2 linked regions of the Saccharomyces cerevisiae S288C genome follow. Changing the gene in region 1 together with any one later gene gives a genetic interaction. Each region holds a gene or a part of one and is shown on either strand. Other genes may lie near its edges.

Region 1 (4,146 bases):
CCGAATAAGCATAAACGTATCATTGTTCCTTTCCCTTTATTTAAGCTCCATACCGATCATGGAAAAGCTCTCCAACGACCTTGAAACGAAAAACCGTTCCTTGGCGATATGACGTTTAGCTCCTTGTCAAATTCTTCCGTGCTACCACGTTGCTACCACTGATATGAAACAAGTACGATCCCTGAACGGAACAGCGCCTAAAAATAGATGGGCACTCACTTTTCCTTTTTCGCTGCCTCTTTTTCCCATGCATTTCCTTTTTGAGTAGTACGTCTTATTTTTGATTATATGCTCGACATACCCCAGGTTTCACAAAGGTTTGGCTTCCTTTTAGCACTTTCTCTCTCACCCTTTCAACAAGTTTATTGGGCCCGACTTACCTTGACGACTTTAATGGGACGCCTGCTAAAAGCTTATTCTACATAAATATATATACCGGCTTCATATAATATAGGAACAAAAGAAAAAGAAAACTGGAAAAAGGGAAGGGGCTATCTCATTATCCAGATAGGCCATATTAGGTGTTACCACAAACTGCTGATAATAATGGAGGGCTCATATCTATCTGCACAAGAAAACCAACCCATACCGGAGCGATTGATACCTAGGTCGAACTCAACTTCGAATTTGTTTGCTTTGTCTAGTACATTCTCTAAACTCAATGTTAGGAATGATGCTGATTACAATTATTCGAACCCGAATAAGAAGAGACACATTTATAGTGGCGAGATAGACTGTAGGTCTGTGACAGCAGCTAGAAAATTTCCAGTAAGGTCCTGTTCAATGACAGCCGCCCAGCAAAGAAAGAGAACTGCGCTATTCACAGTTAGGGAAAGAAACTCTTACCATGAGGGGTTCAATAATGATCAAGATTATGTGAGCCAATACCAGAAGCCACAGTACACTTTCGGAGTATATAAAGAATTAACACCTTATCAACTGCAGCGCTCTAAAATGAAAAGAAGCTTTCAATTTCCCAATGGCGAAATATACAAGCCAAAACTTGATGGAAAATGCACCCACAGCTTGAAAAAGCCTGAATTAAATTCAAGAGACTCTTCTTTATTCAAATTCAGCGAGAAGAAAGGTCGCAATTTATCAAAAGATTTTGTGGGGCCTCATAATGGGACATCAGTCATACATATTCCTCCCAATGATACAGGCTACGGTGTAAATAGCTTGGAGCTGAACACTTCAGTTCCTTCAACAATAAAAAGTTCGGTTTCATCAACCTCTCCGATATCTGCTGTTAATACCCTGACCAGCTTGCCAGAAAGTCAAACTGATGATGATGACGGTTATGAAAATAAAACTGTAACTATATCTTATTGCTTCGAAAATACGGTAAATGAAAAACATGGTAGCCATATAGAAAAATTGGATTTATCAACTAAGGAAAAAACTAAGCCAACAACTAATTCAGGCCTATTTGATAGAAAGAAAAAGACTATTCTGGGCACTGAGAAATATAGATGTATAAAGTCACAATCGAAGTTGAAACTGGGTTCTGTTTTGAAGAAATTATGGCGTACTTCAGGAAACTCGAATACAAAGCATGGAAAAAAGGATACAAAAAGAAGGAGAATTCCTATCGATGATATGGTTACGCATTCTGATGGAAATTCTGAAGCTGAGAATGATATTGAATTAATGGATGCAAATCTGGACGGCATTGAATTTGACGACGACGAAACTCTAATGGATACAGATTCAATTTTTGATGATCTGTTGTCCAAGGAAAATGATAAATACGATTTGAGGCGAAGGCAATTAGAAATACGACAAAAGCTCCACGAGACCTCGCACAACGACGATGGCAAGGTTTCTTTTCGAGATACCGAAAAGCATAATGTCAATGAAGGTTTGATCGACAAGACCATAATCGAAGAATTTTCAAAGCTCGGTGAATATATAATCGACACGAGAAATCAACCACCACCAAGATCGTCCAAGAGGCCTTCATTAGATGACAATGAATCTGCACGATACTTCTACAACATATCGACAGATTTGCGACAGTCTCTGTCAGGTCCAATAAGCTTACCAATGCATGTTGGGAACGACATGGTAAATAGGTTGAGAAATGACTGGGAGTATATCAGATTCGAAGATAGAAGGAATTCGCTGCCAGATTCCTCATTTGATAAAGTCGAAACACCTCCAAAACCAATAAAAAAAGATGTCCGGTTTGCAAAAGAAGTATGTTTAGCAAGCACTTGGTCATCGAATGCATATGAGAGAGCTAATCCGGAATTCATTATGAATCGCCACAGATTGTTGTGGATGATGAAAGTACATCCAAGCATGAATAGTGCCATGAATGAGATCAAACTTGAACTTAACTCTTACAAAAAAAATGAGATGGTTGTCCATGAGAACAGCAAGTGCTTTACACATTATTTAATTTGAGTTATTAACGTAACATAATCCAGTTTATTTTTTGCAATAGAAGGCGTCATACATATTTATATATCAATGTATACATTCCATTCCAGTTACTTCTTTTGCATCTTGCTTCCTGTTTACCTTGACCTCGAACCTATTATTTGTCCGCAATGCGCCTTTGGGTGAAAAGGGATTTCGTTTCCATTTTAACTGTACATAATGTAAATGTAGAAAAGCGTGGTTCTTAAAGGATTTACGGTTCAATACGCTTTTATAAACCTGCTGGTGCTCTAATTACGAATGAAACATGGACCAGGCAAGAAATTTCTACAACACAATTTTAAAATCGTCGCACCCGTTGCTACTATCATTTCATCTGGCAGGTAAGGCAGTTCCCATTGTATTTTATATCATAGGATCAATGTTTTTGAATTTCACACCTCAATTCATCACTGTCGTTCTTTTACTTTCTTTTGACTTTTACTTAACAAAAAACATTACAGGTCGGAAACTGGTCCAATTACGCTGGTGGTATGATTCTACAGATGTGAACAAAGATTCTAATTTTACTTTCGAATCATATAAGCAATATGCGCCGGGCCCACCAATAAATGCCATCGATTCTAAGTTATTCTGGTGGTCGATGTATGTGACACCCGTAATCTGGGGTGTCTTCGCTGTGTTGTGTCTTTTAAGACTGAAAATATTCTACCTGATTTTGGTCATTGTTGCAATGTGTCTGACCGCCTGGAACACGTATGGATTTCGTTGTTGCGATAGATGGGAGCCCAATAGTGGACAATCTGACGGTCAAGATACTAATAATTGGTTCGCTCTTCCTTCTGTTCCGGGCTTTGAAAATCTTTCAAGGCTGGCTAATATCCAATCGTTTTTCCAGAGACAATAAAACCTTGTCCCTCATGTGAACATTGTGGAGTACTTCTTCTAGATGATTTTTACTTTACGCAATGTACTACAGGAAAAGAATACAATTATATGTATAAATATAGTATACAAAAGAAAAAACAATATTAAAATATGAAAATGACGGATGAAGTCGTTATCTTCTTTTATAAATACAGGGCTTCAAGAGCCATTTTCCTTCGGCAATTTTCCGTCTTTTCTTTTCTAATTCTTCCTTCTCAGTTTCAACTTCAATAAACTTTTGTCTTCTTTCCAATTTCTGCCTTCTCTCTTCAATAATCTCCGCAGGTGGCTTGAAAAATTCGAATCTTGTAAACATCTTATTCTCGTCGAAGGTCTTTTTGTGAAAAAATCCCATCAGCTTCAAAGCGTCTACAAATTCATTACCTTTGCCGTCACTAAACCTTGATTTAATTTCTGCGATCCATAATTCACCCCTTGGCGCTAAAATCCTATAAGCTTCTTTTATGAAATCGAGGAAATTTGTACCCATTAGAGCCAGGCAGAAGACCACTATAGTACAGGACTCATCTGGTAGCGGCACATTTCTAATATCTGCCACAGTTATTCTTTCGTTAGCTTTCTTCAAATCAAAACTGTGGACTTTATGGCGTCTTTTCAAATATTTCTTCGCTTTCTTATTGTAATTTTTGAAAAAATTGTTGATTTCTAATGCTAATTGAGCTTCACCACACCCCATATCAGCAATAACTATTTCTTTACTATCCTTAAGACCTGGTAACCCACCTGGAGCATTCACAGGTTTCATGCATCTATAACGAATTTGGTCAACAAAAACATCAACTGGATTTTCCGGCCATGCTTGCACTTGTGATC
Region 2 (17,474 bases), on another chromosome or scaffold:
TGGCAGGCATCACTGCTTAAACCATAGCCCACGAGCTCAGAAATTATGTTTGCATTTCTCTTTTGAGCATGTTCTAGCGATTCCATGACAATCATTCCGCATCCTTCACCAAGTACGAATCCAGAACGTTGTGTATCAAAGGGTCTAGAGATCCCGTTTGTAGTAATCGACTTTGCTCTGATGAAACCTGCTAAACTTAACGGATGCAAACTCGTTTCACTTGCACCGGCGACACAGATGTCTTGCATGCCTAACCGAATAAAATTGAATGCATCGCCAATGGAGTTATTACCTGTTGCGCATGCTGTGGAAACACTATGGGATAATCCTCTAAGGTTAAACTTGATGGAAACATTACCAGCTGCCATATTTGTAAGGATTTTAGGGACGAAATATGGATTTATTCTTTTATTGTCGTTATGGAATTGTAGAGAAGTTTGGTATATGTCTTGAATGGATCCTATACCAGAACCTATCAGGCAACCAAAGTGATCCAGATTGCACAGAGATGTATTGATGGTTATATCATTTGGGTTCAAGAGACCAGCATTGTGAAGCGCTTCATAAGTTGTACGTAGTGCTAGCTTGATAAAGCTTGAGGTTCTTCTCTCATCCTGGCTAGTGAACAGCAGTTTATTGATGGCTGAATTTTCGTTTTGAAAATTCTCTGGAATCTTCCCCACTGTTATCGTTGATGGGATACTTTTTTCTCTGAGTTTGTAGTCCTCATTATAGTTGGGCAAAGATGTGATTGGTGTGAGTCCATTTTTGGAAGAGAGCAGATTCCCCCATGACTCACTTAATGATCTTCCCAACGGCGTTACACAGCCCAATCCTGTGATAACCACTCTTCTTGACATTTCTTTACTAGAAATTAAATTTTAATCCGTTGTGGCTCCTGTCACTTTCAAGTTGCTAATAACCTGATAACGTTTAAGGATTTTACTTCCTTTTTTATCATTTATTTTTCTGAGATGAGACAGAGTCAGAAATAATAGCACACTATATGTTTTAAAAAAAAAAATCTATCTACGTATTTATTTAATCAATAAGATGTGATTTTATAAATGTGTCGTTTTTTAGCATCATTACTTGTTTTGTGGCGAATATAGAATAGGACTGTATCTGAGAATTATTACTCAAATATGTTCGATTTTAGAGGATTACCATTTCAACAGATCGTCCTTAGCATATAAGTAGTCGTCAAAAATGAATTCAACTTCGTCTGTTTCGGCATTGTAGCCGCCAACTCTGATGGATTCGTGGTTTTTGACAATGATGTCACAGCCTTTTTCCTTTAGGAAGTCCAAGTCGAAAGTAGTGGCAATACCAATGATCTTACAACCGGCGGCTTTTCCGGCGGCAATACCTGCTGGAGCGTCTTCAAATACTACTACCTTAGATTTGGAAGGGTCTTGCTCATTGATCGGATATCCTAAGCCATTCCTGCCCTTCAGATATGGTTCTGGATGAGGCTTACCCTGTTTGACATCATTAGCGGTAATGAAGTACTTTGGTCTCCTGATTCCCAGATGCTCGAACCATTTTTGTGCCATATCACGGGTACCGGAAGTTGCCACAGCCCATTTCTCTTTTGGTAGAGCGTTCAAAGCGTTGCACAGCTTAACTGCACCTGGGACTTCAATGGATTTTTCACCGTACTTGACCGGAATTTCAGCTTCTAATTTGTTAACATACTCTTCATTGGCAAAGTCTGGAGCGAACTTAGCAATGGCATCAAACGTTCTCCAACCATGCGAGACTTGGATAACGTGTTCAGCATCGAAATAAGGTTTGTCCTTACCGAAATCCCTCCAGAATGCAGCAATGGCTGGTTGAGAGATGATAATGGTACCGTCGACGTCGAACAAAGCGGCGTTAACTTTCAAAGATAGAGGTTTAGTAGTCAATCCCATTCCGAATATTGTTTTTATTGTTTTATGTTTTTCCACTGATCTGGTAAACACTAGCTGGTTGGCGCTATTAATATGAAAAGAGTTAGACCAAATTGAGTAGAAAAGAAACCTTTGGCAATCCTAACTATGTTGTTTTAGCTTGTGTATTTAAGCGCATATATATATATTTCTGAAAATGACAACATCAAAAGAAACGAACTTATTTAGAATAAAAAGAAACGACTTGGCTTCTTATTATTCCTACTTTACGTCACGTGGGAGGCCCGTTTAGGGGGGCAGCTATGTAGTTTTTCCGAGCGTACTTTCTTTCAGCATCCGAAAAGTCCTCACTTGACGGCTTACACGGAAACGCCGCGGATTGTGGGGCACAGATGATGACGCAGACGGAACACTGCAGAAATCTTTTTACCTTGTCGTTAAAGACGATATTAGAGAGAAGAGTTTGGCTGGGGACAAAGTGCCAGCTTTTCGTTCAGGGCGAGGTGCCAAAATACTTGAGAAGGCCAAACCCCAAAGGACAGGGCCAAATACGTACGCTACGGTAATATCTAATGGGAGAGGGTATAACATTGACCATTTTCGAAGGAGGCATAGGAATTTAGACGCTGATGGATGTTATCAATATTGAAGTTTTTCACCGTTTCCCTCTTTCTCTGCTCCTTTAAAGAACGCAAAGTCTCCTCTTGAGAGAAAGCAGACGATTGGAATTGGTATCTTTCACGTAGCATTGCTTAACCTACGGCCATATTAATGATATGAAGTCATATGAAAATGGCCGAGGCCAGCGGTTCATTCGAGGATATATATTTTATTACCCGGCGTCTCTAGCCGAAGTAAGAAAACACAATGCAACCAGCGTTGGTGGAAGGGCGTGATAATGCTGAATGGGAGAAGAAAGTTGAATAGTGACTCTTCAAATGTGTCCTTTCAGGATGCGCTACTTTCAGAAGTTACAAAGATATCTGTATATTGAATAGAATTTTTTTCACCACTAGAATTGTTCTTGGAGCCAGCACAAGCACTTACAATGGCAGATTATTCTTCCCTTACTGTTGTTCAATTGAAAGATTTACTGACCAAGAGAAATCTGTCTGTAGGCGGATTGAAGAATGAACTAGTTCAAAGACTGATAAAGGACGATGAAGAATCAAAGGGTGAAAGTGAAGTTTCTCCACAGGAACAAAACCAGGAACAAGGGTCAGAACCTGCGGCGATAGAAGAACCAGCCTCCCAGAACATTACTGAAAAAAAGGAAGTTTCAAGCGAGCCTAAAGAAACAAACGAACCCAAGGAGGAAAATAAGGACGTTCAAAAGCCCTCTGATGGACCTTCTGCTACTGCTTCAGAGAACGAACAAGCTGCTGCTTCCACTGCTGCTCCCGCTTTGTCACCAGAAGAAATTAAGGCCAAAGCATTGGATCTTTTAAATAAGAAACTGCACCGCGCTAACAAATTCGGTCAAGATCAAGCGGATATTGACTCTTTACAAAGACAGATAAATCGTGTGGAGAAGTTTGGTGTTGACTTGAATAGCAAGTTGGCTGAAGAACTGGGCCTTGTCAGTAGGAAAAATGAACCTGAAAGTGGCAATAACGGTAAATTTAAAAATAGAAACAAAAATGCAAACAACCGCTCCAGAGTAAGTAAAAACAGGAGAGGCAACCGCTCTGGTTACAGAAGATAAAGGCTCAAGCCGTTTTGGTGGAGTTTTTCATTCTAGTTTCGGTTCTTTCCCACTTTTTAAACGACCGCAGTTGTTTGTATATGAAGGTGCAAAATTTGTTGCATACGTAAACATGTGTAGATTATTCTAAATAAATCTGTGTTATTAAATCCGAAGAGTCGGCGGTTCACTGTATTACACATACAGTGGCTGTCAACGTTGTAAAGTGCTAGTAGAGAATGAGCGGCGAGATTTACAGACTGAACATTCTTGTACAAGTTACAATGATGATAGAGGAAAAATAAGCTATGATAAATAGTTCATAGTAATGCAGGTGGGGATGATGCAAGCGGGCCTATTTATTTTGAAATAGTACTGAATGGTTTGGAAAAGGTGGAATTTTCAATCTGCAACGATATCGCGCTCAACATCTTTAACCTGTCATCATCGTACGTATTTGGGACTTCAATTGAAGGCAATGTAATGATAGTGCTATCTGCCGATGTGCTTGACCTCGTCACTCGAGGCTCTTCTTTACCGGGAGTGCTTGCATCTTTCGTTGAAGAATGTGCACTCAAGACCTCAGATGTGGAGTGTGGCCTCATTGGATTGGACTGTTTATTACTACAAACCAAGGGATATTGATGGAGTGTCATGTGATAGATAATTTCGTTGATTGGTGCCAAAGATGCATCAAACCCATAATCTTTGACAAGAGATCCCAGTATGAGATTCAGCACTCTCACCTGAATTTTTTCTTGTGATAGGTCAGCGAATAGTTGACGTGTAGCGGGCATAAATAGCCTTTGCGATAGAATAGTCAAAAATTCGATTGATGACAGCCGTTCAGTAAGATATTGCTTAGTAGAAGACGGTAAATGTGAAAAGCTGTTTTCTACCACAAGGGAAATGGAAGCCATTAGTGAATTTTTGCCCAGCGTTTCTAGATTAGCAAAAGAATCCAAATTTCTTTCATCCTTAGACATCTCCAAGCACGTCCTTGAGTTATGTATCTTTGACAGGATGAGTTTTCTCAAGTTGTTGGATATTACAACTTTGCTTTGGCACCCTTTTTTTTTCGTTAAATTTGGTCTAATGAACTTATCTCTTTGAATTTGTTCAGGTAGTGGAATAGCATTATTTACAATTTCAACAATTATTGATTTGGCAATAAAGTCGTATTCTTGTTCACTTTCTAGAGGCTGATCTTCTATATCAAACTTTTGTAATTTTTCATCGCCGCCGTGCGCATACGGTGCCGATGGATCACGAAGAAGAGATGCGTTCTTCTTAAGTAAAGAGCGAACTTGAGTTGGTACAGGTGGAAGAGTGCGGCCATTCGGATAAGGTAACAATTTTTGTGATGTTATAGTATTAAGAGAAGGAAGAGCGTGCTCAGCAGGTTCTTCCTTCACGCTGGCTTCTTCGTCAGAGCTTGATGCATTGGAAGCTGAACAAGACCCCATATTACTTGAGCTGGGGGGAGACAAAGGAATTTTTTGAACTTTACCACGGGCTATTTTCTTCTTAGAGTCTAATAATTTTTTCTTGGAACGTTTCCTGTTTCTTCTCACCGATTGAACAGCAGCGGTAACCAACTTTTCAAATTCTGCCGAAAACGTATCAGGGTACTCAAATTCACTCCTTAATATGGTGGCTATTTGTCTTATATTATCATCTTGTTCACTTGCTTTGTGCTGGCTCAAGCCAAATGAGTCAATGAGTTCTAGTCTTCTGCTAGAAAACTTCTTCCATTTCTTTTCATCATTAAAGTTTAACTGAGCTCTGATTTTATGTGTAGTACCATAGCCCGTATACTTTCCTGTTTTATGGCTACCTTCCAAATGAATTTTGGAGTTCTCAGTATCGTCAATCATCTTGCAATTTTTACTCTGACTGTTGCTGTTTTTTTTGCTGAGATATTTTCCGGTTAAGATGTTTGAATATGCTAAAGGTAATATACAGCTAGAGAAATATGAAAAGCAAGAATATAAAAATAGAACAGGAGCACTTAGTTCGGTTTTTTGCCATCATGTTTAATATATATATATATATATATATATATATATATATATGTGCGTGCGTGTGTGTGTGTGTGTGTGTGTACATGTATGCGGCAGCTAAAAGATGACGAGTACCTTCTAACGGCCATGTTATTTTCTACAGAAAGCATCTCACTTTGAGCGCCCAGAAAAAAGAAAAGGGAGAACAAAGTGATTAATTTTGCCTCTCGATTACATTATGAGGTGGCACTATTTGTCACATTTTATGTTTTTCATCCCGCACTTGGCTTTCATGAGAAAAGCATGTAGGACGCTTGAGTTTGGCATGCGAGAGAAGAGGCGTGTCAGAAAAAAAAACGCCTTTTGCTCTTGAGAAGAGCGGCAAAAATTGCCGAACAGGTGGAATTTCTCGACCAAAGGTGGGGTAAATATCGGTTACCCGTTTGCGAGTTCCTTTACAGTCTCAATGATTTCCAAGATGACTAAGGGAATATTTTCCATGGTGCCTTTTGCCTCGCGTACACTCACGGCACTAATGGGCGATACGATACTATGATTGTGTTCGGGATTAGTTCGATTCAATCATTCGCGCACGAGGCATGGACAGAAATGGCACTGATTTTAGTCACCGAGTCAACAAAAATGAGGCGACTCGATCAAAGATGTTTATTGACTCGTTTTTGCAACTAGAGAAAGGCATTCTTGCACGGAGAGAATGTTGACTTTAGTTGGAGTACCATTAGAGAGATGCCATTAGAGAACATTGTACTGCAGTAACGATGAGTTTAAGTTTTTAAGTACGCATGTTTATATATGAAAAAAATATACATTGAGATTACGAATATATATACTTGTCAGGAAATGCCGGCAGTTCTAATGGTTAATCCTTGTCCTATTTCTTTACGCCATTTTCTTTGAATTGATCTTCTGTGACACCGGTTCCCATAGCAGCTGTTGCGCTAACACCACCTTGAGCTAACTTCAATAACCCATCGATGTACTCCGCACCAGACCATTTTTGATGTTTCAACACATCAACACCATCGTCCATTTCCCTCTGCTGAACATTCTGGGCATAAGCTTTCATCCCATCCTTGGCAAAGTCACGAGAGAAGTTATGGACAGCTAAAGCGTTAGTGTGTAAACCGGCCAATGTGATAAATTGCCAGATGTAACCTAGATCACCCAGCCTTTGGATGAAGGTGTGTTGTTCATCAACGGACATGGCTTTTGGCCAGTTAAAGGATGGAGACAAGTTGTAAGCTAGCCATTGGTCAGGGAATTTCTCTTTAACACCTTCTGCAAACTCCTTGGCCTGTTGGAAGTCTGGGTAGTTAGATTCCATCCATACCAAATCAGCATATGGAGCAAATGCACGGGCCCTCATGATAGAACATTGCGTCCCACCTCTGTAACGGTACAACCCTTCCCTTACGCGTGGTAGCTCCCAGTCGAAGAAAATTTCGTGGCCAAGAATTTCTTTAGCGAGCTTCTTGGCTTCTCTGTGGGATGTTTCAGTCAATGGACCCACTTTAGAGGTGAATTTCTTAATCAATTCTTGCTTATTTGACAGGGCTGATCTTTCAATTTCATCAATGACGGCTTCATGGAATAACTTGAGTCCAGCGTCTCTACACCATTTTTGTTCAATGTCAGCTAGTTCTTGTCCTGATGCACCACTCATGATGGCATCATTTAAAACTTCGGCAAATGGCTCGATATTTGGATTGGTGGCACCGACAATGAAATAATGATCTCTGGTATCGATGGTTGAGCTAATCAAAGTGGCTGCTTCTGAATCAGTCCTAGCAACGACAATTAAGTCAGAATGCATGATATCAGCACACATTCTAATAGTCACCAATCTGTTAACATGTTCCTGAACGGGTATAACACATCTTCCTGCCATATGCCCACATTTCTTATTTGTAGATGTCTGGTCTTCCATGTGGATCCCAGCAGCACCACGCTCAATGAACATCTTGGTCAATTTGAAGACTGCGGTTAAACCGCCGTGGCCTGCGTCTGCATCAGCGACAATTGGTGTTAGGTAGTCAATTGGGGCACCCATCTCATCGAGTTCTTCCTGAGATTTAGCCTTTGACCGTGCCTCTAGTTGTTTTCTGTCGTGAAACAATTGGGCCTTGAACAAATGTTCCACTTTGTTTGGAACGGTGTCCATTGGATAATCAGCTAAGTCTGGACCAGGTTCATTTGAGGTGGAAGCAGTTGATGAACACTGCCAACCAGAAATATAGATTGTGTCTAAGTATTTTGCCATTTGAGAAATCTGGACAGGATCTAGGGCACCGAAAGTTTTAGAGACTGTACCCTCATTGTGATGCTTCTCTAATACCTTGAATAATTTTCTGGCCATGACCGAAGATGGGTATTCGATTGGTGGGAATGTCCCGCGTCTAACAGCAATATCTCTGGCTGAATAATTTCTCTTAGTCTTACTCCAACGTGAGTCAGACCACCATTTCTCAATTTCGGCAGCATCTGCATCTAGTTTTGCTTGTAAAGCTGCAAAATCGTTCTTCGTATTTCCAACGGGGATAGGCATTTTTCGTTGACTTTTTGTTATGTTATGCTAAGAGTTTTCTCTCAATTGTTAGGTATTTGGGTGTGAAAAGAAAAAAAGGATAAGATGAAATTAGCAAGCCAAGACAAATAATAAGAATTTTGCCAGTGAAGCAGCTCCTTTATATAATAAAGAAACGTTTTGTGAATTCCGATGTGCCTGGTTAAGGGCGGACTTTGGACTGACTTATGCTTTTCTCTTTTGCACCAATATTGAGTCACATACTGGGATGCTAGTCCGGACTATGGATATTTTCTTCTGTAAAGGGTAGTGAAAGATGACGTTGAGTGTTAATTTTGTGGTGATTGGCTTCAGTTTTGATTGTTTCGGATGAAATGAAAAAGTGACGAAGTCAGATAAGTGATCGCTCGGATGAATGGAAACCTGGGGCAAAAGGGAACAGTTTTTCTCATCGGATGACGAGTAGCAAAACCCGACCGCCCAAAGCATCCGGGTTACGAGATATTTACTTTTCAATAAATAGATTCAATTATTATTATTTTCTCGAGACATATTACTGACACAAGAAATTTCCTATGGGAGCTTGATTTAGTTTTTCCTTCTAACATTGTCATTTTAACTGTGTTGCCTTCCCTTGCTCGCAACTATGCTACGCTATATTGTACTCTTGAATTTTATTTATGTTTTGTTCCCAGCGGGCATCTTTCAATAAAATGAACTCAAGAAGAAGTAAATAATAACAAGCTATAATGGGTGGCCATTTGTGATCAAATTTGGAGTGAAACACGTATGATTATGTTTGAACTCTCTTTCTTTGATACGAAACCTCAAGCGACGTAGGTGATGGATATATTCACAAGATAACAAAGGCCGTGTTACAACATTAGATATGTAAACAACGTGCTAGAAGTTCTCCTCGAAGATCTCGAAATCTACAAAAGGGAATCGATATTTTATACATAATCCTATTATTATTTTTTCTTCCATTTTATATGCTCACTCATTATCCTTTACATTTCCAAAATCATGCATTTCAGCTTCCATTAAATTTTGATGGCTGTCTCTTAATTTTGTTATCTTTCTTTATGTCATCCTCTTACAGAGTATATGGTAATATACTAGTAATATGATTAATAGTCGATAAGTGAGTGTGAATTTTTATTCCGAAAAATATATGACGATGATCACACTATATTTTCTAGAAATAACTTAAACCATAGTGAATAAGAATCTGTAGTGCTCCTTGAGAACTAATGAAATTGCGCTAAAAACAAACCTAGTTAACATAATGTTTAGGCCAGGAAGAATCTAAATACAAACCTTATCAGTCCCAGCGTACGCGTCATTTACATTTGCGTATTGAAAATGAAAAAAAAATAATTCATTTGAAGCACTACTATTACAAAATTTATTCCAGCCCAACATTCAGTTTGGAAGCATCAAACGGCCTTCGACCATATGAAGATATTCCAGTAAATATGGTCTCCAAGCAGTTCAACTACTTTTCATGAATGTAGCATTTTCAAGGCACCTCTAACAATAAAAAAAACGACACCAGCAGGATTTGAACCAGCGCGGGCAGAGCCCAACAGATTTCAAGTCTGTCGCCTTAACCACTCGGCCATAGTGCCTATCATTATGAATTTCCCAAAAAAGAACCACTATCAGAGACATATAAAAATAAGAACACATCCACCGATATCTGTTACAATGAAACCCTAAAATATCATCCATTTGGGGTAGTATTCATGCTACCAGTATATCCTGTATGCGTAATATTATAGCCTTTTCCAACAGTGCACCCAAATATAATCACAAATCACCCAATTCTCAAATTCACTTGTTAAAATGAAAATACCAAAGCCTCATCATACCGTTCTATTGTCCATCTCCAACACAAAAGTACCATAATAATTTTCCGATTCGACACGAATACAGATAGATGGGCACATGGCAAACTTAGCTCAGTATGGGCTTGTAGGTTGTAAACGAGTCAGAAATTTCAACAATAAAAAATACATCAGATAGTGTTTCGATGTTCTTAATTACACGTGAATTATCAAAAACCATCAACATACCAGCCAACATCAGTGTAGGTGGAATAAAACTTTCTTACCATGTACAGTAAATGGACCATGACGCCGTGCACAAGCTTATGCATAATGAGCTAAGCGGGAAGACATTTTCAAACTACGTGATAGTTCCGACTGCCCTTTCAATTGCTAATGTAGCAATATGTTAGGAATGCAATATTCCAAAATGCTGTCTGTGTCAGTGAGAATAACAAAAACATTGAATAAACTTTTCTATGGTAATAACCACGCCAGATAAGGGCGTTGCCATCGTTTTCATTTTTTTTTTTTTTTCAAATGGTGGGGTCACCGTTGTGAAAAGAAACCTTTGATTCTCAACCATATCGGTACTCGGACTAATCACTTAAATCTTTCCAAGGGATTATCGAGAATGTCATAGTGCAAAATAATCTTAGCTTTCAATAATTTTTTCATTTGGAGTCACACTCCCGTTAAAACCTAGTCAACGGCTTCCACTTAAAGCTATCAACAAGGGGCAATTGATTTTGCATTTTCGTCTAAATGAAAGTTGCAGCCAGCAATTTACCCGAAGTTTAAATAAATCAATGCAAACCATGTTCAACTTAAACAGCAATCGCTTTCTATTACCTTGGAATTATATCAGAACGTCTATCTGCGAAGCTTTAATAAAGTACTGGAAGTTGTGTCTGAAATGTCTGTTTTGGTAAATTTGTTTGATCCTGATTATACACCTCAAAGGACCACGTTAAGTGGCCATATGACGAGTGTTATTGCGTGCTTGCAAGTTGAAGATAATTATGTCATTACAGGAGGATGTGATAAAACGATCAGAGTTTATAACTTAGTAAATAAAAGATTTCTTTTACAACTATCAGGTCATGATGGTGAGGTTTGGGCATTGAAGTATGCCCATGGCGGTATTTTAGTCAGCGGTTCTACAGGCAGAACGGTGCGAGTTTGAGATATTAAGAAAGGTTGTTGTACCCATGTGTTTAAAGGTCATAACTCTACGGTGAGGTGCCTAGATATAGTAGAATATAAAAATATCAAGTACATTGTTACTGGTTCGAGAGATAACACTTTGCACGTTTGGAAATTGCCCAAGGAGTCCTCCGTTCCTGATCATGGGGAAGAACATGATTATCCATTAGTCTTTCATACCCCTGAGGAGAACCCATATTTTGTTGGTGTTTTAAGAGGACATACGGCGACTGTAAGAACTGTCTCAGGCCACGGTAATATTGCCATTAGTGGCTCCTATGATAATACATTGATTGTGTGGGATGTTGCGCAAATGAAATGTCTATATATCTTGAGTGGACATACGGATCGTATTTATTCGACAATCTACGATCATGAAAGAAAAAGGTGCATCTCTGCCAGTATGGATACCACTATTAGAATTTGGGATTTGGAAAATATAAGGAATAATGGAGAATGTTCCTACGCAACAAATTCAGCATCGCCATGCGCCAAAATACTTGGTGCTATGTACACTTTGCGGGGTCACAGAGCCCTAGTCGGTTTATTGGGATTATCCGATAAATTTTTAGTCAGTGCTTCTGTAGACGGTTCAATAAGGTGTTGGGACGCTAACACTTACTTTCTGAAGCACTTTTTCGATCACACGCAGTTGAATACAATCACCGCATTGCACGTTTCTGATGAGGTATTAGTGAGTGGATCTGAAGGTTTGCTCAATATTTATGATTTAAATAGTGGGCTGTTAGTCCGTTCAGATACATTGAGTGGTGCTGATAATGTTTGGAACGTTAGTTTTAAGGACAACACACTTGTGGCAGCGGTAGAACGAGACAAGCGAAATCTTTTAGAAATTTTGGACTTTAGTTGAAGATTGATGTGAGAATGATGCAGAACTTACCTTGTCACGTTTGGAACTCAGTTGTACTTTTTCGGTGTAAACAAATATAAAACTTTAGAATTTACATTAATAAGTTATGTGCTATTTATTAGTTTAATATATCAACATTAATTACATGCGAGCTATGTATTATTAGCTCAATCAGCAGGACTAAAATCGAGGAAAAAGTAATTTTGTTTATGCCCAGTTCAGTTATCGTCCATTTGTAGCAAATGTGGTACAAGTTGACCCATATTTTCATGCATTGGGCCATGCAGTAATTATCACACTCACTTTGTCATAATGTATACAATGGCCGCTTATTTGCGACTCGTCTCATATTTTTCCTGAAACTGTAGCTGTGTGTAATATTATTCATTAACTTCGATAATTCGGCTACAGAAGACAAGAGCTACATCCTTACTGGTGCGAATAAATGACATAATCTGTCAAGAGTACCGAAGTAAAAGCAACGATTGCCGAACACATCTTCCTGAAGTATCATATGCCAATACAAGGTTTCAATAGGAATTATGAAAGCGGCATTATCACCCTTAATCTGAAATATGTAATGATGACGGTGCAGTATGTTGACTACATTGTAAAGTTGCACTTTCACTCAACTCATGAAATTGATGACATTAATCCTACGTGACTTACACATATGCCATGAACGAAGAAGGTGGCACCAAAAATCCAGCGTTTCCGATATACACGCAGTCAAATGTTCAGACTAAACTTTGGTATTCTGACAACGTGTTGTCATACCTGTTACGAGCCAGAAACGTATTTCTTTTTGGGTGATACAATCTCCAGATGACTGCTTTTTTTTTTTTTACCCCAGATTCAGGGGCCGAAGGAACGGAAATGCGGTGTGGCGAGATTGCGGATGTGCTAAAAAATAATATCCTCGAGGCAACCAGCATAATGTGGACGGCTCTCGGCAATTGACTTCCATAACAAATGCATCCTGTAATCAGGGGTATTATAAGTTACTGTATGGTTAATTAAATATAGAATGAAAGGGGCAGCGTTCTTAAGGGGTATTGCTGGGTGGAAAAATACAAGTGTCTTTACTTGATTGTGTGCACATATATAAGGCAAAAGATTTCTAGCGTATATTTGAATCTTTTGTTCTTCCACGTTCAAATTTCTTTGGTCAAAACATTTCATAAAGGGACAAGTTCTGCATTGTATTCTAATAATTGCCCATAGAACATATAAATTAGGTATCGACTGTTTTCGTCTCCACTTTAAATGACAAAGAAGGATAAGAAGGAAGTAAAAGTTCAAACGGTTACCACGGAGGATGGTGAAACCGTGAAAGTTTTTGAAGACCTGCAGGGTTTTGAAACTTTCATTGCCAATGAAACTGAAGATGATGATTTCGATCATTTGCACTGTAAATTAAATTACTACCCACCATTTGTGCTACACGAGTCGCACGAGGACCCTGAAAAAATTAGTGATGCTGCAAATTCTCATTCTAAGAAGTTCGTGCGTCACCTGCACCAGCATATTGAAAAGCATCTTTTGAAAGATATTAAGCAAGCCGTTAGGAAACCTGAGCTTAAATTTCACGAAAAATCGAAGGAAGAGACATTTGATAAAATCACCTGGCATTACGGTGAGGAAACTGAATACCATGGTAGACCTTTCAAGATAGACGTTCAAGTAGTTTGCACACATGAAGATGCTATGGTATTTGTCGATTACAAAACACATCCTGTAGGCGCAAATTAAAGGTTGTGTCATAGAGAATGTGTTAGTACTGAATCCTAACCTCCCAAATTCATAAGTAGTTTTATGTACCTTTAATGATTTACGATTAGCAACTTTTTGAATTTTTTTTATTGAAATGTTGAGCCCGAAGACGTGAAACGCTATAAAGTAGTATCACTGTTACGCCGCGAAACCTGATAATGTATTGTTAAACTACTACCTGGTCGATGATTATATCGACGCTTCTAAAATGAATGCTATTACCCGAACTTCCACTTGATTGCCGTCTCTTCCCGGGTAACATTGTAAGTGTGAATATGATTTTTTTTTTTGCTTTCTCTTTTCAAAATTTCCGAAAAGCATATCAAGACGTGTACTACATACAGTAAAAGCCCTCCTAGGGTTTTCAGTAGTGGTTCGAATAGTATAGATTACTGCTTTTGTTACTCTGCAACAATCCCAAAACTTAATAAAAAGTACAAAAGACCAAATAAAAGTATCGTATATAATCCAGTCATAATGATGAATCCACACGTTCAAGAAAATTTGCAAGCAATCCACAACGCCTTAAGCAATTTTGATACGTCATTTTTATCGGAGGATGAAGAAGATTATTGCCCTCTTTGTATTGAACCAATGGATATTACTGATAAAAATTTTTTTCCTTGTCCCTGTGGTTATCAAATTTGTCAATTTTGCTACAATAATATCAGACAAAATCCAGAATTAAATGGCCGTTGCCCAGCATGTCGTCGTAAATATGATGACGAGAACGTCAGATACGTCACATTATCTCCGGAGGAGTTAAAAATGGAGAGAGCCAAGCTCGCTAGGAAGGAGAAAGAAAGAAAGCATAGAGAAAAAGAACGTAAAGAGAATGAATATACGAATAGGAAACATTTATCTGGTACCAGAGTTATCCAAAAGAATTTAGTGTACGTTGTTGGCATCAATCCTCCTGTTCCATACGAGGAAGTTGCGCCCACTCTGAAATCTGAAAAATATTTTGGCCAATATGGTAAGATAAATAAGATTGTGGTTAATAGAAAAACACCCCATTCTAACAACACAACCAGCGAGCATTATCACCATCATTCACCAGGATATGGCGTTTACATAACCTTCGGATCCAAGGACGATGCTGCAAGATGTATAGCTCAGGTAGACGGGACGTATATGGATGGCCGCCTGATCAAAGCTGCCTACGGTACTACTAAATACTGTTCTTCTTATTTAAGAGGATTGCCATGCCCAAATCCCAACTGTATGTTTTTGCATGAACCTGGTGAAGAAGCTGATTCTTTTAATAAAAGAGAACTCCACAATAAACAACAAGCGCAACAGCAAAGTGGCGGAACTGCATTCACTAGATCTGGAATACACAACAATATATCTACCAGTACCGCTGGTTCAAATACCAATTTACTAAGTGAAAATTTCACAGGCACACCTTCACCGGCGGCGATGAGGGCTCAGTTACATCATGACAGCCATACAAACGCTGGAACACCGGTATTAACACCTGCTCCGGTCCCTGCAGGGTCAAATCCTTGGGGAGTTACTCAATCAGCAACACCTGTAACCTCTATCAATCTCTCTAAAAACAGCAGCTCCATAAACTTGCCAACATTAAATGATTCTCTGGGCCATCATACTACCCCCACAACAGAGAATACCATCACAAGTACGACAACTACTACCAATACCAATGCTACAAGTCACTCCCATGGTAGCAAGAAGAAGCAATCTCTTGCTGCAGAGGAATACAAAGATCCTTATGACGCACTAGGGAATGCTGTTGACTTTTTGGATGCAAGACTACATTCTCTATCAAATTATCAGAAGCGCCCTATATCTATCAAATCCAATATTATTGACGAAGAAACTTATAAAAAGTATCCGTCTTTGTTTTCTTGGGACAAGATTGAGGCCTCAAAGAAAAGTGACAATACATTAGCCAACAAACTTGTGGAGATCCTGGCTATAAAGCCAATAGACTACACTGCTTCTGTCGTTCAATTCTTGCAGAGTGTCAATGTTGGTGTAAATGACAATATTACAATCACAGATAATACGAAAACTCCCACCCAACCAATAAGACTGCAAACCGTCTCACAGCAAATCCAACCACCATTAAACGTCAGTACCCCTCCACCGGGTATCTTTGGTCCACAACATAAGGTTCCTATTCAGCAGCAACAAATGGGTGATACAAGCTCAAGAAATTCCTCTGATTTACTAAATCAACTAATCAACGGAAGGAAAATTATCGCCGGTAATTAATCCGACTCTAAATATTTTTCTTGTTTGCATTAACCATAATTTTATCTATTTTTATTTCTCATGAATATATAATCTCTCCGTTTATAACGAAATGCAAGAAAAAAAAATCTCACCCATTTTTTTAAACCTTTGACGTGGAAAGGTATCTGGGAAAGGTATCTGGCTAATGAATAATGCCATAGCATATACCAGTATAGTCTATTTACTCGTTACAACGTATGAAAGCGTCAGCGCTGCAAGAATGACTAATTCATAGAAAATAATCATCATGATATATATCATAATGCACGGAACCTGCTTCGCTAATTTTTTCACTTAAATCACATTTTTTCAACGAAATCTCTTGCGCAGTTGGTTGGAATTCTTATCCGAATGACTCAGTCTACATCAAAAAACTGTGGCCGAATGGTGGTAATTGATGACTCTTCTATTTTTTTTTTTCATATAAAGAGCTTGCGCGCGTGTTGTTGTTCGCTATCCATTTCCATTAGGAACATTTTTGGATATTATTTTTCAGACCCGTAATATACTTAACACATATACCACTAAAGGCAAAAGAAAGAGAGATCTGAAGTGAGAAATAAGTCTGCATCATTATGCCATCTGCTAGCTTACTCGTCTCGACAAAGAGACTTAACGCTTCCAAATTCCAAAAATTTGTGTCTTCATTAAACAAATCCACCATAGCAGGATTTGCATCTGTACCCTTGAGAGCTCCACCATCCGTTGCATTTACGAGAAAGAAAGTCGGATACTCAAAGAGGTATGTTTCATCTACTAACGGCTTTTCAGCTACTAGATCCACTGTGATCCAACTGTTGAACAATATCAGCACAAAAAGAGAGGTTGAACAATATTTGAAATATTTCACTTCCGTCTCACAACAACAATTTGCTGTGATCAAGGTGGGTGGTGCCATTATCAGCGACAATCTACACGAACTCGCTTCCTGCTTGGCATTTTTGTATCATGTTGGTCTATATCCAATAGTTTTACATGGTACCGGTCCTCAGGTTAATGGAAGGCTAGAAGCGCAGGGAATTGAGCCAGACTATATTGATGGTATTAGAATCACGGATGAGCACACAATGGCCGTAGTTAGAAAATGTTTTTTGGAACAAAATCTTAAGCTAGTTACTGCATTAGAACAGCTAGGGGTCCGTGCAAGACCCATTACTTCTGGTGTTTTTACTGCTGACTATTTGGATAAGGACAAATACAAGCTAGTGGGCAATATTAAAAGTGTCACAAAAGAGCCAATTGAAGCATCTATTAAGGCAGGTGCCCTACCAATCTTGACCTCTTTAGCCGAAACTGCTTCTGGTCAAATGTTGAACGTCAACGCCGACGTAGCTGCTGGTGAATTAGCCCGTGTTTTTGAGCCTTTGAAGATCGTTTACCTGAATGAGAAAGGGGGTATTATCAAT

The links.
Region 2: mutations in TVP23 (region 1) and RRT13 together harm fitness more than expected from each alone (negative genetic interaction), as found in Saccharomyces cerevisiae (one large-scale study listed by BioGRID).

Annotation. Positions count from the first base shown.
Region 1 is NC_001136.10:612,551-616,696, reverse strand, and holds TVP23 (Tvp23p), read left to right. Parts: upstream 1-2,692; coding exon 2,693-3,292; downstream 3,293-4,146. Other genes in the region: AFR1 (Afr1p), read left to right, coding at 547-2,409; RRP8 (25S rRNA (adenine645-N1)-methyltransferase), read right to left, coding at 3,446-4,146. UniProt on the Saccharomyces cerevisiae protein: Golgi membrane protein involved in vesicular trafficking.
Region 2 is NC_001137.3:278,767-296,240, forward strand, and holds RRT13 (Rrt13p), read left to right. Parts: upstream 1-11,475; coding exon 11,476-12,033; downstream 12,034-17,474. Other genes in the region: fatty acid synthase CEM1, read right to left, coding at 1-860; glycerol-1-phosphatase GPP2, read right to left, coding at 1,164-1,916; THO1 (Tho1p), read left to right, coding at 2,944-3,600; VHR2 (Vhr2p), read right to left, coding at 3,939-5,456; ICL1 (isocitrate lyase 1), read right to left, coding at 6,475-8,148; RGI1 (Rgi1p), read left to right, coding at 13,300-13,785; CCR4-NOT core ubiquitin-protein ligase subunit MOT2, read left to right, coding at 14,284-16,047; ARG56 (bifunctional acetylglutamate kinase/N-acetyl-gamma-glutamyl-phosphate reductase), read left to right, coding at 16,644-17,474. UniProt on the Saccharomyces cerevisiae protein: May be involved in the modulation of rDNA transcription.